2 linked regions of the Struthio camelus genome follow. The protein of the gene in region 2 interacts with the protein of the main gene of each other region in a pairwise test. Links are inferred from orthologs where the notes say so. Each region holds a gene or a part of one and is shown on either strand. Other genes may lie near its edges.

Evidence for each region.
Region 1: the proteins of NCK2 (region 2) and VARS2 interact in binary tests that used the Homo sapiens proteins (3 or more experiments, as listed by UniProt). The two-hybrid records come from large-scale screens. The link is inferred for Struthio camelus from reciprocal best matches to the Homo sapiens genes NCK2 and VARS2.

What each region holds. Positions count from the first base shown.
Region 1 is NC_090977.1:635,574-642,990, forward strand, and holds the start of VARS2 (valine--tRNA ligase, mitochondrial), read left to right. Parts: upstream 1-4,383; coding exon 4,384-4,593; intron 4,594-4,828; coding exon 4,829-5,057; intron 5,058-5,707; coding exon 5,708-5,808; intron 5,809-6,448; coding exon 6,449-6,561; intron 6,562-7,417. Other genes in the region: GTF2H4 (general transcription factor IIH subunit 4), read right to left, coding at 749-853, 2,140-2,270. UniProt on the Homo sapiens protein: Catalyzes the attachment of valine to tRNA(Val) in a two-step reaction: valine is first activated by ATP to form Val-AMP and then transferred to the acceptor end of tRNA(Val).
Region 2 is NC_090942.1:154,296,034-154,302,997, forward strand, and holds the start of NCK2 (cytoplasmic protein NCK2), read left to right. Parts: upstream 1-3,926; 5' UTR 3,927-4,289; intron 4,290-6,964. UniProt on the Homo sapiens protein: Adapter protein which associates with tyrosine-phosphorylated growth factor receptors or their cellular substrates. Maintains low levels of EIF2S1 phosphorylation by promoting its dephosphorylation by PP1.

The DNA of each region.
Region 1 (7,417 bases), on a different chromosome or scaffold from region 2:
GGGTGTCCCGCGGTACCCGCGGGCTCCCCTGGCACCCGCCGCCCACCCCCGGCTCACCCCCAGCCCACCCACGGGTGTCCCGCGGTACCCGCGGGCTCCCCTGGCACCCGCCGCCCACCCCCGGCTCACCCCCAGCCCACCCACGGGTGTCCCGCGGTACCCGCGGGCTCCCCTGGCACCCGCCGCCCACCCCCGGCTCACCCCCAGCCCACCCACGGGTGTCCCGCGGTACCCGTGGGCTCCCCTGGCACCCGCCGCCCACCCCCGGCTCACCCCCAGCACCCCCAGTCCACCCCCAGGTGCCCCCTGGGACCCACAAGAGTCCCCTGCCACCCGCCACCCCCCCTCGGGTGCCCCCGGGACCTCCCAGCCCACCCTCAGATGTCCCCTGGAACCCACGGGTTTCCCCCAGGACCCCCAGCCCACCCTCAGACATGGTCTAGCACCCACGGGCAGCCCCAGGACCCCCACCCCACCCATGGGTGCCTCCTGGGACCCCCCCAGCTCACTCATGAGCACCCCCAGGACCCCCAGCCCACCCATGGGTGCCCCTGGGACCCCCCCCAGCCCATCTTTCAGGTACTCCCCAGGACCCCCAGCTCACCCATGGGTGCCCTTGGGACCCCCAGCCCGCCACTGGGACCCCGCCGGGAGCCCCCCGGCCCCCGCGGGAGCCCCCCGGGACCCCCAGCCCGCCGCCGGGACCCCGCCGGGAGCCCCCCGGCCCCCGCGGGAGCCCCCGCCCCACCTGCTGTGCTCCTTCTTGACCCAGAGACCCACGGCGGCCTGGGGCAGGGGCTGCTCCACGAAGAGCATGCGCAGCACCCCGGCCTGCGCCAGCCCCGGCAGCTCCCTGCGCCGCGGGGGGGGGGGGCGTGGGTGGGTGTCGGGGGCGCCCGGGGGGGTCGGGGGCGCCCGGGGGGGGGTCAGGGGACCCCTAAGGGGGAGGTCAGAGCGCCTGGGGGGGGCCCATGGGGTGCTCAGAGTGCTCCTGCGGGGTGTCAGGATGCTCCTGGGGGGGGAGTTGGGGGGCTGGGGGGGGTCAGGGTGCTCCTGGGGGGGGGTCAGGGGGCCCCTAAGGGGGAGGTCGAGGTGCCTGCGGGGGTGGGGGGGGCCTATGGGGGGCTCAGGGTGCTCCTGGGGGGGTCAGGGTGCCCATGGGGTGCTCAGGGTGCTCCTGCGGGGTGTCAGGATGCTCCTGGGGGGGAGTTGGGGGGCTGGGGGGGTCAGGGGGCCCCTAAGGGTGTCGGGGGGCTCCAGGGGAGCAGTCAGGGTGCTCCTGGGGGGCTGAGGGGGCTCTGGGGACTCCGAGGGGGGGGGTCGGGGTGCTCCTGGGGGGGAGTCAGGGGGCTCAAGGGACTCTGGGGGGGGTCAGGGTGCTGCTGGGGGTGTCAGGGTGCCTGGGGGGGAGTGGGGGGCCGGGCGGGGGGGGTTGGGGTGCTCCAGGGGGTGTCAGGGGTGCCCGAGGGGGGTGGGGGGGAGCACCCGAGGGGGTGTCAGGGTGCTCCTGGGGGGAGGTCGGGGTGCCTGAGGGGGAGTGGGGGGGCCTATGGGGGGCTCAGGGGGCTCCTGGGGGGGGTCAGGGGGCTCCGAGGGGATCGGAGGGCCTTGGGGGGGGGGTCAAGGGGTCTGGGATGGGCTTGGGAGGGGGTCAGGGTGTTCCTGGAGGAGGTTGGGGTGCTTCGGGGAGGGTCGGGGTGCTCTGGGGGGGGTCAGGGTGCCCGGGGGGGGGTCAGGGTGCCCCGAGGGGGGGTCGGGGTGCCCCGGGGGGTGCCCGGGGGGGGGTCTCACCGGAAGACGGCCAGGCAGGTGGCCGGGTGGCCGTAGAGGCGGTCGAGCAGGGCCGGGCCGGGGTCGGGGTGCCCCGGGACGGGGTGGGGGTGCTCTGGGGGGGGTCGGGGTGCCCGGGGGGGGGGGTCGGGGTGCCCGGGGGGGGGGTCGGGGTGCCCCGGGGGGTGCCCGGGGGGGGGTCTCACCGGAAGACGGCCAGGCAGGTGGCCGGGTGGCCGTAGAGGCGGTCGAGCAGGGCCGGGCCGGGGTCGGGGTGCCCCGGGACGGGGTGGGGGTGCTCTGGGGGGGGTCAGGGTGCCCGGGGGGGGGGTCGGGGTGCCCGGGGGGGGTGCCCGGGGGGGGTCTCACCGGAAGACGGCCAGGCAGGTGGCCGGGTGGCCGTAGAGGCGGTCGAGCAGGGCCGGGCTGAGCCCCTGCAGGAACTCGGGCAGGTTCTTGCACTGCAGCTGCCCCCGCGGCACCCGGGGGGGCCCCTCCATGGCGGGGGGCGGCGGGGACACGGCCGACGGGCACCCCGCCACCGCCGACGGGGACACGGCCGACGGGGACACCTGGCAGGAGGGGAGAAAGAGCGCGGCGCGGTGAGTCCCGGCGGGAGATGGGGGGGTGACACCGGGTGACCGGGGAGGGGGGACGGGGTGACACCGGGTGACGGGGAGGGGGGATGGGGTGACACTGGGTGACCGGGGAGGGTGACATCAGGTGAGCCGGAGGGCAAACCCAAGGAGGAGATAAGGTGACACCGGATGACCAGGGTGACCGGCGCTGGGTGATGGGAGCACAGGGTGACACTGGGTGACGTAGGGGGGTGGCATCAGGTGACCTGGGGGGGACGGGGTGACACTGGGTGACCGGGAGGGGGAGATGGGGTGGCACCAGGTGAACTGGGGGGGGGAGACCCAAGGAGGACATGAGGTGACCCGGGGTGACCCGGGGGGAGACGAGGTGACACTGGGTGACCGGGAGGGGGACATGGGGTGACACGGGGTGACCGAGGGGGAGATGAGGTGACACTGGGTGACCGGGAGGGGGAGATGGGGTGACACTGGGTGACCGAGGGCGGATGGGGTGACATGGGGTGATCCGGGGGGAGGAACAGGGTGACACTGGGTGACCGGGAGGGAGAGATGGGGTGACACTGGGTGACCGAGGGCAGATGGGGTGACACGGGGTGACCCGGGGGGGGGACGGGGTGACACTGGGTGACCGGGAGGGGGAGATGGGGTGACACTGGGTGACCCGGGGGGGAGACGAGGTGACACTGGGTGACCGGGAGGGGGAGATGGGGTGACACTGGGTGACCCGGGGGGGGGGAACGAGGTGACACCGGGTGATCCGGGGGAGATGGGGTGACACGGGGTGACGGAGGGGGGACGGGGTGACACGGGGTGACACGGGGTGACACGGGGTGACCGGGGTCGGGGACACGGTGGCACCCGGGGTCCCGCCGCCCCCCCCCCATCGCCCCCGTCTCACCGCGCGCCCCGGCTCCCGGCTCGGCCCCGCCCCCTTCCCGCCCTGCCCCGCGCGGGACCACGTGGGGCCGCGCCGGGCCCCGCCCCCTTCTCCTCGCCGGGCCCCGCCCCCGCCGGCACTGCCGCCACCGCCGCGCGCGCCAAGGTGAGAGAGAGCCCGAGCCGGACGCCTGGGCCCCCCGGGGGGGGCGGGGGACACCCGGACACCTGGGCCCCTGGGGGGGGGACACCCGGACACCTGGGCCCCCCCGGGGGGGGCGGGGGACACCCGGACACCTGGGCCCCTGGGGGGGGGCGGGGGACAGCCGGACACCTGGGCCCCTGGGGGGGGGACACCCGGACACCTGGGCCCCTGGGGGGGGGGGTGGACACCCGGACACCTGGGCCCCTGGGGGGGGGGACACCCGGACACCTGGGCCCCTGGGGGGGGGGTGGACAGCCGGACACCTGGGCCCCTGGGGAGGGGGACACCCGGACACCTGGGCCCCTGGGGGGGGTGGACACCCGGACACCTGGGCCCCTGGGGGGGGGGGTGGACACCCGGACACCTGGGCCCCTGGGGGGGGGGTGGACAGCCGGACACCTGGGCCCCTGGCGGGGGGACACCCGGACACCTGGGCCCCTGGGGGGGGTGGACAGCCGGACACCTGGGCCCCTGGGGCGGGGAGGGGACGCCGGGGTCCCTTGGGTGGGGGAGCTGCCCGGACGCCTGGGCCCCCCAGGGGGGAGGGCACAAGGGGGTCCCCGGGGGGGGGGACACCCGGACACCTGGGCCCCTCGTGGGGGGCGGGTCACCGGGGTCTCCAGGAGGGGAGCTGCCCGGACACCTGGGCCCCTTGGGGGGAGGGCACACGGGGGTCCCTGGGGGGGGGGCAACACCCAGACGCCTGGGCCCTCCGGGGGGGAGCACACGGGGGTCCCTGGGGGGAGAGGTGCCCGGACGCCTGGGCCCCCCGGGGGAGGGCACCTGGATGCCTGGGCCCCTCGTGGGGGAGGGCACCCGGGGGTCCCTGGGCGGGGGGAGGTGCCCGGACGCCTGGGCCCCTCGCTGGTGGGGGGGAGGGGGGCACCCACCCGGGCGCCTGGGCCCTCAGCGCCCCGCCGCCCGCCAGGCAGCATGGCGGCCCCGGCGCTGGCGCGGGCTCTGCGGGGCGCCGGCAGCGGAGCGGGCCCCTGGGCGCGGGGGGGGCCCGGGGGGGGCCGGGGCCGCAGCGGGGGGGGGGCCGCCGGGCCCCCCGCCGGCGCCCAGCTCCAGGCCCGGGCCCACAAGGAGCGGCGGCAGCGGCGGCGGCAGCAGCGGGCGCAGCTGGGGGGCGCCGGGGCCCAGGTGCGCCGGGGGGGCCACTGGGGGGCACTGGGGGGCACTGGGAGATGAAGCTGGGGTGGTTGGGGGGCAACTGGAGGCCACTGGGGGCCTGGGAGAGGGACTGGGAGGGGCTCGGGGGGACTGGGGGGCGACTAGGGGGTGGGAGAGGGACTGGGAGGGGACTGGGGGGGCTCAAGGGAACTGGGGGGCGACTGGGGGGTGGGAGAGGGACTGGGGGGGACTGGGGGGGCTCAAGGGAACTGGGGGGCGACTGGGGGGTGGGAGAGGGACTGGGGGGGACTGGGAGAGGTGGAGAGGGGCCGGGGCGGGTCGCGGCGTGTCGCGGCGTGTCGTGGCGTGTCACGGCGTGTCGCGGCGTGTCGCAGCGTGTCGCGGCCCCCAGGCACCGGCTGCCCCCCCCAAGGCCTGGGCCCCCAAGGCGCAGCTGGAGTACGGCGGGTCGCTGGGCCCCGACGGGCGGAAGGGTACGGGGGGGCGGGGGGGACACGGGGCAACAGGTGAGGTGACGGGCAGGGTGACGCGGGGGCCGGCGGGGTGACACAGGTGACAGGTGGGGAGACACAGGGGTCAGGCGGGGTGACAGGCGGGTGATGCGGGGGCCGGCGGGGTGACACGGGTGACAGCGGGGGCTGGCAGGGTGACGCAGGTGCCGGGTGGGTGACACGGGGATCAGGTGGGGTGACGCGGGGGTGACGGGCGGGTGACGCGGGGGCTGGCAGGGTGACAGGCGGGTGACGGGCGGGTGACGCAGGGGCTGGCGGGGTGACAGGCGGGTGACGGGTGGGTGACGCGGGGGCCGGCGGGGTGACGCAGGGTGACGGGCGGGTGACACAGAGGCTGGCAGGGTGACGGGCGGGTGACGCGGGGGCCGGCGGGGTGACGCAGGGTGACGGGCGGGTGACACAGGGGCTGGCAGGGTGACGGGCGGGTGACGCAGGGGCCAGCGGGGTGACGCAGGGTGACGGGCGGGTGACACAGGGGCTGGCAGGGTGACGGGCGGGTGACGCGGGGGCCGGCGGGGTGACGCAGGGTGACGAGCGGGTGACACAGGGGCTGGCAGGGTGACGGGCGGGTGACGCGGGGGCCGGCGGGGTGACGCCCTGGGCCGCGGCAGGGGTGGAGGAGCCGCTGCCGCCCGCCTACAGCCCCCGCTACGTGGAGGCGGCCTGGTACAGCTGGTGGGAGCGGCGGGGGCTCTTCGCCCCCCGGCCCCCGGTGAGTGCACCGAGCAGCGCCCGGCCTCAGCCCCCATCGCTGCGCCGAGTGCTACCCGGCCTCAGCCCCCATCGCTGCGCCGAGCACTGCCCAGTTTCAGCCCTGTCCCTGCGCTGAGTGCTGCCCGGTCTCAGCCCCCATCGCTGCGCCGAGCGGCGCCCGGTCTCAGCCCCCGTCCCTGTGCTGAGTGCTACCCGGCCTCAGCCCCCATCGCTACACCGAGTGCTGCCCGGCCTCAGCCCTGTCCCTGCGCTGAGTGCTGCCCGGTCTCAGCCCCTGTCCCTGCGCCGAGCACTGCCCAGTCTCAGCCCCCATCGCTGCGCCGAGCGCTGCCTGGCCTCAGCCCCATCCCTGCGCCGAGCACTGCCCAGTCTCAGCCCCCATCGCTGCGCCGAGTGCTGCCTGGCCTCAGCCCCCGTCCCTGCGCCAAGCTGCCTCCAGCCTCGGCCCCATCGCTGCGCCGAACGCTGCCCGGGCCTCAGCCCCGTCCCCACCTCGCGCAGCGTCCTGTCTCGGCCCCCGTCGCTGCGCCGAGCGGCGCCCGGTCTCAGCGCCGACCCCCTCCCCGCACCGTGTCCCGTCTCGGCCCCCGTCGCTGCGCCGAGCGGCGCCCGGTCTCAGCGCCGACCCCTCCCCGCAGGCCGGGGGGGCCGAGCGGCGCCTGAGCCTGGTGCTGCCCCCCCCCAACGTCACGGGCTCCCTGCACCTGGGCCACGCGCTCACCGTCGCCCTGCAGGACGCCCTGGCCCGCTGGTGAGCCCCGCTCCGGGGGGGGGTCCCCAGGGTGCCCTTGGGTGCTGGGGGGGGTGGGGGGGTCCTGTACGTGCTGGGGGGGGTCCCAAGGGTGCTGGGGGGGGTCATGGAAGTGCCTGAGGGCTCCCACGGGTGCCTGGGGGGGATCCCCAGGGTGCCCTTGGGTGCTGTGGAGGGGGTGGGGGGTCCTGTACGTGCTGGGGGGGGTCCCAAGGGTGCTGGGGGGGGTCATGGAAGTGCCTGAGGGCTCCCATGGGTGCCTGGGAGGGTCCCTAGGGTGCCCTTGGGTGCTGGGGGAGGCCGGGGGGTCCTGTAGGTGCTGGGGGGGGGTCCCCAGGGTGCCCTTGGGTGCTGGGGGGGCCGGAGGGTCCTGTAGGTGCTGGGGGGGGTCCCAAGGGTGCTGGGGGGGTCATGGAAGTGCCTGGAGGGTCCCATGGGTGCTGGGGGGGGATCCTGCAGGTGCTGGGGGGGGGTCCCAAAGGTGGAGGGAGGGGGTCATGGAAGTGCCCTGGGGGGGTCTTGGGGGGCTCTGGGTGCTGGGAGGGGTCCCGTGGGGTTGGGGGGTGGTCCCAAGGGTGCTGGGGGGGGACTTGGGGTGCCCCAGGTGCTCAGGGGGTCCCGTGGGGCTGAGGGGGGGTCCCGTGGGTGCTGTGGGGGGTCATATAATTGCCCTTATAAGGGCCCCCCCGGTGGGGGGCCCTGGGTGCTGGGAGGGGTCCCGGGGGGGGTGTCAGGGCACCCTAGGGTGCTGGGGGGGTCCCCGGGGGGGTCTCCGGGTGCGCCTGGATGCTGGGGGGTCCCGGGGGCCGGGGGGGGGACACGCGGGGGGGACACGCGGGGACACGGCGCTGTGGCA
Region 2 (6,964 bases):
TGCTTTAAGCAGAACCTATATGACATGTGGGAATGCATACCATTTAAGAACCAGACTGGGGGGAGAAAACGCACGTTAACATTGCTTTCAACATTTTTAAATTAACTTAATCACAAGTTGGGAAATTTTCTGAAAGTTGTTTTTAAGATGAACTTTTTTTTTCAGATGAGAAAGAATTAAAAGGTATGTTATTTTTTCCAGCGTATCTAGTACTTCCCTTATCTCTTCGTTTTCTTAGTGGCATAGAATTACAACCCCACATAAATGAATGGAGTTTATTATAACATCATCTCCTTTAAAAAGCAGTTTTGAGAAGCAGGAATAACAATTTTCAAAATAAATGAGTTTAGATTTAGGAATATTTTCTCTCCAATGCGCTGACATGGAGATACGAAGTATCTTCACTGTCAGTCTCTGAGCTGGACAATGCTGTCTTCCAGAATTTAGAAGGATGTTCCAGACCCTCCTTCTCACACTGGCCTAAGGCAGCCTGTATTAATTCATATGCTAGACAGAGCTGCTGGCGAAAAAAAAAGAAAGAAAGACAGAAGTATCTAGACAAAGGATAAGGTATTTGTGCAGAACGGGGAAGGAGTCCCACCTCAGAGGTGGCAATCGTGGCCTAGCCACTGTGAGGTGCAAATGTATTAGCATTTCTCAGATGTGTAAGGCTGCAACCTGTGGCAGAGACGGCGGCTGCATTGCCTTCCATGAGCAACCGACCGCTCCTCCGGGCGCGTGGTAAAGCACAGGTAGCATTACATATGAAACAGAAAATGGGGAGTCATAAAAAAAGAAAGGTAAAGATAAACAGGAAAGATAAATACAAATTTTCAACCTCTTGTACAAGTTATGAGTATCAAGATGAACTGACTGCCACTATGCAATCATGGAGTAAATCTGTCACACAACCTTTAGCTTTGTTGTTTGACTGTAACCCTATTCTAGGCAGGAGTACACAGCTGACTGCTTCTTTAACAAAGATGAAGAGAGAGCTTTCCACTGCCTAACCATTTTCTCCTTTATTTTTACTATCCAGTTATAGCCTTAGGCTGAGAGAAATATTCATGCTGTTCTCTCCAGTGTATATATTTTCTAAGGACTGCACCACTCTTATGCATATGCAAAAGTGTATACTTTGCATATTTACTTTCTTTATACAAAATACTGTGCCCTCTACATCATGTATTGCTTTCACTTCTGTGCAGATTCCCCCAAATTTATCATCTTCTCACATTCAGAATTTAATTCTGATTCAGATCTTTTAAGTAACAGTTATTCTAGAGATAACAGTTAATTATGATATTTCAAAATGTGTACATTAATATTTCAGTAGGCTCAACATTTTGAAATACTAGTCAAAGCAGCATGTTAGTCTTTTTGCTGGCGAAACAGAAGGATACTTTCAGTAGACAGGCTGTTAAAATACCTTTCAAAATACCATTCCAAACCCTTTTTACAGTATCTTTTCTTTGTCATAAGCCACAGTTTGGAAAACCATCTTTAATGGCTCATTCCTTAAAATAATTAAATATATTTAACAACAATAAGCTTCAGGGTCCTTAAATTAGTCCTTTGCATGAAGACAATGTGTTCATTTAAATCCCTCTTTAAAACATTCTTCTTCTATAAATCCTATTAGCAGTAATCTGCTACAGCTAGGTGCGCTTTTTAATTTTTTCAGACACCTAGAAAGCTTTGAGATCGACTGATCATTTGGTGTCTTATGTTTCTGAACCCTTTCAGAGATCTAATTTAGATTGTGTACTCTTTGTAGTCATGTCATCTTCCTCTGTGCATCCTCAGCACAACAGCGCAGCAGAAAAAAACAATGAAGCAGAAGATTTCTATACAGCCAAGTTAGCAGGGAGGGGCAAGATGGGACAAAACTGAAATTGGAAACTAACTGTATATTACAAATGTAAACTAGAGCAGGGATAATTCAGCTTTCCATTACTGCTACCCGCAGTGCGTTTTGCTCCGGGAACCACAGAGACTTATTTCTGAAAATCCTTGAGCAACCACTCCCATTCAAATTCAGAGTTCGCACTCGCAGGCTCCAGCCTTAAGGGAGGCTCGAGCAAGGCCTCAGCCCGCAGCGATGCAGCCTTCATCTGCATGAAGTGGGAGCACAGCACAATCTTAATTTCTATTCCTGGGACCCCAAATATTTTCTCAGGCTAAAAAAAGCGTTGTCCGATTATTGCTCAGAAAGGGAGATTAACACTTCTCAGAATCAGAGTCAAACGTGTGCAGCAAAAGACTTGAAAGGAAAGGGGCTTTCTGCTCTTCCCTGAGGGGCATGCAAAGTCTTCCTCGGAGGAAACAAGGGACCGCATTTTTCTTTCAGTTTTATCTAACAGGCACGTGAAAGGCAACTAGGACATCTGAAACCATCAATTAAACGTTGCAGGAATAAGTAAAAGTTAAAAAGAGGAAGAGGGAATTATTCAAAGGCTTATAAACTGTTAAGGAACACAAAAAAACCTCAGAAGAAGTAAGGTTTTTTTTTACATGTATACCGGAATGTTTCAGCACTAAACATCTGTGCGCTGAGTTCTGCCCACTATTTTTCCCTTGGTCAGCGAAAATAAGACAGTGCTCTTGGGGACTGCTGAATTTACTCCGCGTTTAGAAAAAGTGGCATTGCATATTATTGCCTCCAAAGCCAGGAAAAATGACCTGAAGAAAGACTAAACCAGCCCTGGCAAGGCACAAGCCTCTTCTCCAGAGCAGGCATGTGTGGAAGCTGGTTAATTGTTTGCAAGTTTCAGGCTGTTTCAAAGTGACTTCCTCTTGCAACATTGATTTTCTTTTCTAAACTCTCCAGTTCCCTCCACAAGGACAAACGTTTCCCTTCCCCTAGAGGGGACCCTGCCAGAGGATTGCCTGTGAGAAGAGGAAGCCCAGTTCCTGGAGGCAGGGCAGAAACTGTCCCCTACACCACAACTTGCTGCGACTGGCAGCCACACGAAGAGGGTTGATCCTTTCCACGACAGATTTCATTCTCAAAGACTGCTTTTTTTTCCTCCCCCCCTCTCTTTTTGGTCTTCTTTAACCATTTGTGGGAAAATCCTTCTTTGGCCACTCGTGGAAAATTCTTCCGGCGCTGCCCGCGCCATCCCCACTGCACGCGGTGGCGTTTCAAGAGAAAAACCAAGCGGCTGCAGAAGTCGGCAGGCAGCAGGAGCGCCCTTGTCCGCAGAGCACCTCCAGCTCCCGCCGGGCAGGCAAGCGAGCCCCGCGGATTAAAGCGGGAGGGAAGGCTGGGAAGTTTACAGCGGGGCAGAAAGAGGTTAAGAAAAATAAAAATAAAAATCAGCGGCAGCAGGAGAGGGGCCGCGAGGCGCACGGCAACACCGGCGGCGGAGGCCGCGCACCGCTCCGCGCCCCGCTCCGCGCCCCGCGGCGGGCCCCGCGGTGACGTCACGGCCCTCGGCCAATGGGCGGCGGGGGCGCCCTGATGCCAAGGCGGAAAGTTCCCCGCGGGTCGCCGGTTCGGTACCCCGGTCCGGCGAGCGCGGCCCCGGCGGCTCCTTCCCGGCGCTGCCCTCTGCCCCCCCCCCCCCGTTTCCTTTAAGCCTCCCGCCGGTACTTTCCCCAGCGCTTCCGCTGCCTGCCGAGGGGGATTTTCACTGGGGATGCCGGGTTTCCTGAGGTGTCGGGAAATGGGGGAGGGGATGGTGGGTTTGGGGGATACGAGGGGAGACCGTTTCCGCGGCGGGCGCAGGGCCCCGCCCAGCGGGAAGCCCCCGGCCCGCAGCAGCAGCGGCGGCGGCGGGGAGGCGCGGGAGGGCCGGGGCGGGCGGCGGCAGCGCTCCCGGGGTGCGAGGCAAGAGTTCAGGGAGCTCCTCCCGCGCCATCCCGGCAGCGGCAGCGGCAGGAAGGGCAGGGCGGGGGCGGGGGCTGTGTCGGGGGGGGGGGGCGGCGGGGGAGGGGCCGATGCTGCCGCCGCCGCCGCTGCCGCCGGGCGCAGCAGGCTGAGGGAAGGCAGGAGCGGAGCCGCCGCTGAGGGCCGGGGCCTTGGACGCGTCCGGCGCGGAGCGGCGCTGCGCGGTGGAGGAAGAGGAAGGGGAAAAGGGGGGGGGGAGGGAAGCCGGCCCCTCTCGGAGGACGCAGCCCGCATCCGCCCGCGGAAGGGAAGAGGGAAGGAAAGGGGTGAGCGAGCGGGCAGGCAGGCAGGCAGGCATCGCCGCCGCCGCCGAGACAAAGAAGCGGAGCCCGCCTGGGCTGGGAGCCTCCCCGCCGCTGCCATTACTAAGCGCCCCGCTGCCCGCCCGCCGGCCGAGGTAAGCGCGGCCGCGGGCAGGGCAGGGCGCGACGGGACCCGCCGCAAAGTTGTGGTGGCCGCCGCGGGCCGTTGGGGCGGCCGGAGCGGGGGGGGGGGGGGGGGCGGGGGTGGAGGAGGGGGGTGGGAGCGGCCGTTGGCAGGGCGAGGTGGGGCGGGGGGGGAGGGAGCTCGCGGCCCCCCCCCTCCTCCTCCCGGGGTGTGTGTGTGTGTGGGGGGGATTTACCTGCCGCGGGGGGGGGGGCGGGGGGGCGTTTTCTGTGCCACGTCCAGCCGCGGGCGTTGTGTGTGTGTGGGGGGGGGAAATGGAGGAGCAGAGGCGGCTCCTCCTCCTCCTCCTCATCCTCGCCGAGTTGGCCTGTGTGTGTTTGTGTGTGACAGCCGCCGCTTTGTGTCACCCGCCGTCCTGGCTGAGGGCCGGGGCGCCCCCCTCTGCGGGGGGGAAGGGGGTGTCAGGGCCGCCCCCGCGGGGCTCCGCTCCGGCCCGGCCCGGCCCGGCCCGGGGTGGCTGCTACCCGAGGGCAAAGATTAGGGAGATAAATAAAAATACTCGCCTAGAGATTGGCACGGAATAACCTCCGCCGACAAATAAAGTTGGCTTCGCCCGTGAGCTCGCGTTGGGCATGGGTAAATCTAGGGGAAATGCCCTTTTCTTTTTTTCCTCCTTCCTTTTTATTTTCTTTTGTTTTATTTTTTTTCCTTTTTCATTACGCGAGCCCTCTTGGGAGGAGGGCAGCCGGGTAGCACCGGCACCACCGTCAAAAGCGTTTAAAAAAAAAAAAAAAAGTTTTCTGGAGAATTATCCCTGGTATTCAGGGCATGGACAAAAGTGCTCTGTGTCCAAAAGCTGCTGCGGCGGCGGCTCGGTCCGGGGGAGTGGGCCGTATAAGTGCTTTAAAAGCGGTAGGTCGTTTCCATTAGTTAAATAAGGGAAACCCAGCGCCTGACACTGTTCGGAACAAAATACTGGAAACAAACGAGCTTTACCCCCTGCAGGGTGGGAATATTCTGGTAACTGTACCGCTATACTGTCGTTGCTTTCTCCCCCTGCCCCCCATTCCACTGGTTACTTTCAGCTTTAATAGATCTAAGCCTTCCCTTTCTCCCCCTCCGCTTTTTTTCTGAGGGATAGAGTGAACATTGGTATAATACGCCACATCAGTCGACACTGATGTTAACGTAGGTAAACGACAAAAAGCTGCAGCAGCACAACATAGGTAAATTACACCGTTTGTTCAAAACGTACCACCTCTCTGGGGCTATTGAGAGGAAAAATATTTGCGTTTATAAATCTTTTTACCCTGTTTTTAATTGACAGTGTGACCACACAAACAGCTACCTTTGCTGGCAGGTTGGGTACAGTGGCCCACCTCAGTTAAAGTTGTCAGATGAGGATTTGGCCTTGTAATTCAGGTTTGACTTGTGACCCGAATCATGTGTGCCTCTGTACTGTAGTTTGTATGCTAAGATCTCCCACTAGTTTTTTTTTATAGTGCATATGGCCTTCTGTGTTTATTAGAGCTATACTGTGAACCAAAAGTAGTTTAACTCCAAATCGTCCTGTTTGTTTGTTAGGTTAAAACTTGAACGCTAATTAAAGCTCAGCACAGATTTAAAGCATTGCTCCTCTGACTGGATTCAGTTTCTTTTACTTGCTCTGAAGCAACACTTGTTTCTGAGAGCCTACTCTTGTAACTGCTTAATGTAGGAGAATTAGAGGTCTCTTTCATGAAACATGGTAATGCCCTTATAAAAACAAATCTGCATGGCCTGACCACGCATGGTTTATATCACTGAGAGTTTGGCCTGGTGACTTAATATGGAGGAATTTGAAAGGGCTTACCGGGTGGGAGCTTATTAAGAACTTCTTTTCAAAAGTGCTAGTTCTACCACTGCTTTTTAGGGATCCTAAGCAGGCAGCACCATGTAGATAATGTTAATGCTACTGCGTTTTTGTTTTGAGGATTGTAACTTCTAACGTAAAATGACTTTGCTTCTTAGAAATACTGTTCTTAAAACTCTGGAAATTGAAATCTTCTGTCGGACCCAAGTAATAACATCTTAAGCTTTGTTACCCCAAGGAGAGATTGTTTTGTCTTTATAACTTTGTCTTCTTGAAACTTTGACAGAGGATGTCACTTTTGGGAACTGTGAATAAATGTAGAGATAGAAGGCACTTGTACCAGTCCAGACTGTAATTATCTGTTTCATGGCCTATGTTAAAATATTTTCTGTAGGCTGTAATTGTTCTCTCATTGCAATGTTAGCTGTTACATTGGCTTTTTACCTATAGTAGATGCTATTTCCAGTTGTTGTTATGATACAACGTTATACAAAATCTCCTTTTCTATATGTTTCCAATAATAACAGCAGAACTCTGCATGGTCGCCTGCATTGTGTTCGCACTACCGAATATCTGATTAATTTGAAACTCCAGCCCTTGGCTTGTTACTGCAATGAAAAGGGAACTTACTGTCCGTTTTCCCTCCTCACACTATTTTCTTCTATAGTTTCCTGGCTAGCTGTGTGAGAGTGTAAGGAAAGGTATTTGCTATCTTACGTGTCATCTCACAACTAATGTCTGCTAAAGAGGAGGAACAAGGTCAGCAGTCTCCTTTTTTTCCATCCCTTGTTTTTTTGTATCCTCTGTTGCTGTTGGTGTGCTGTTCTTTTGCA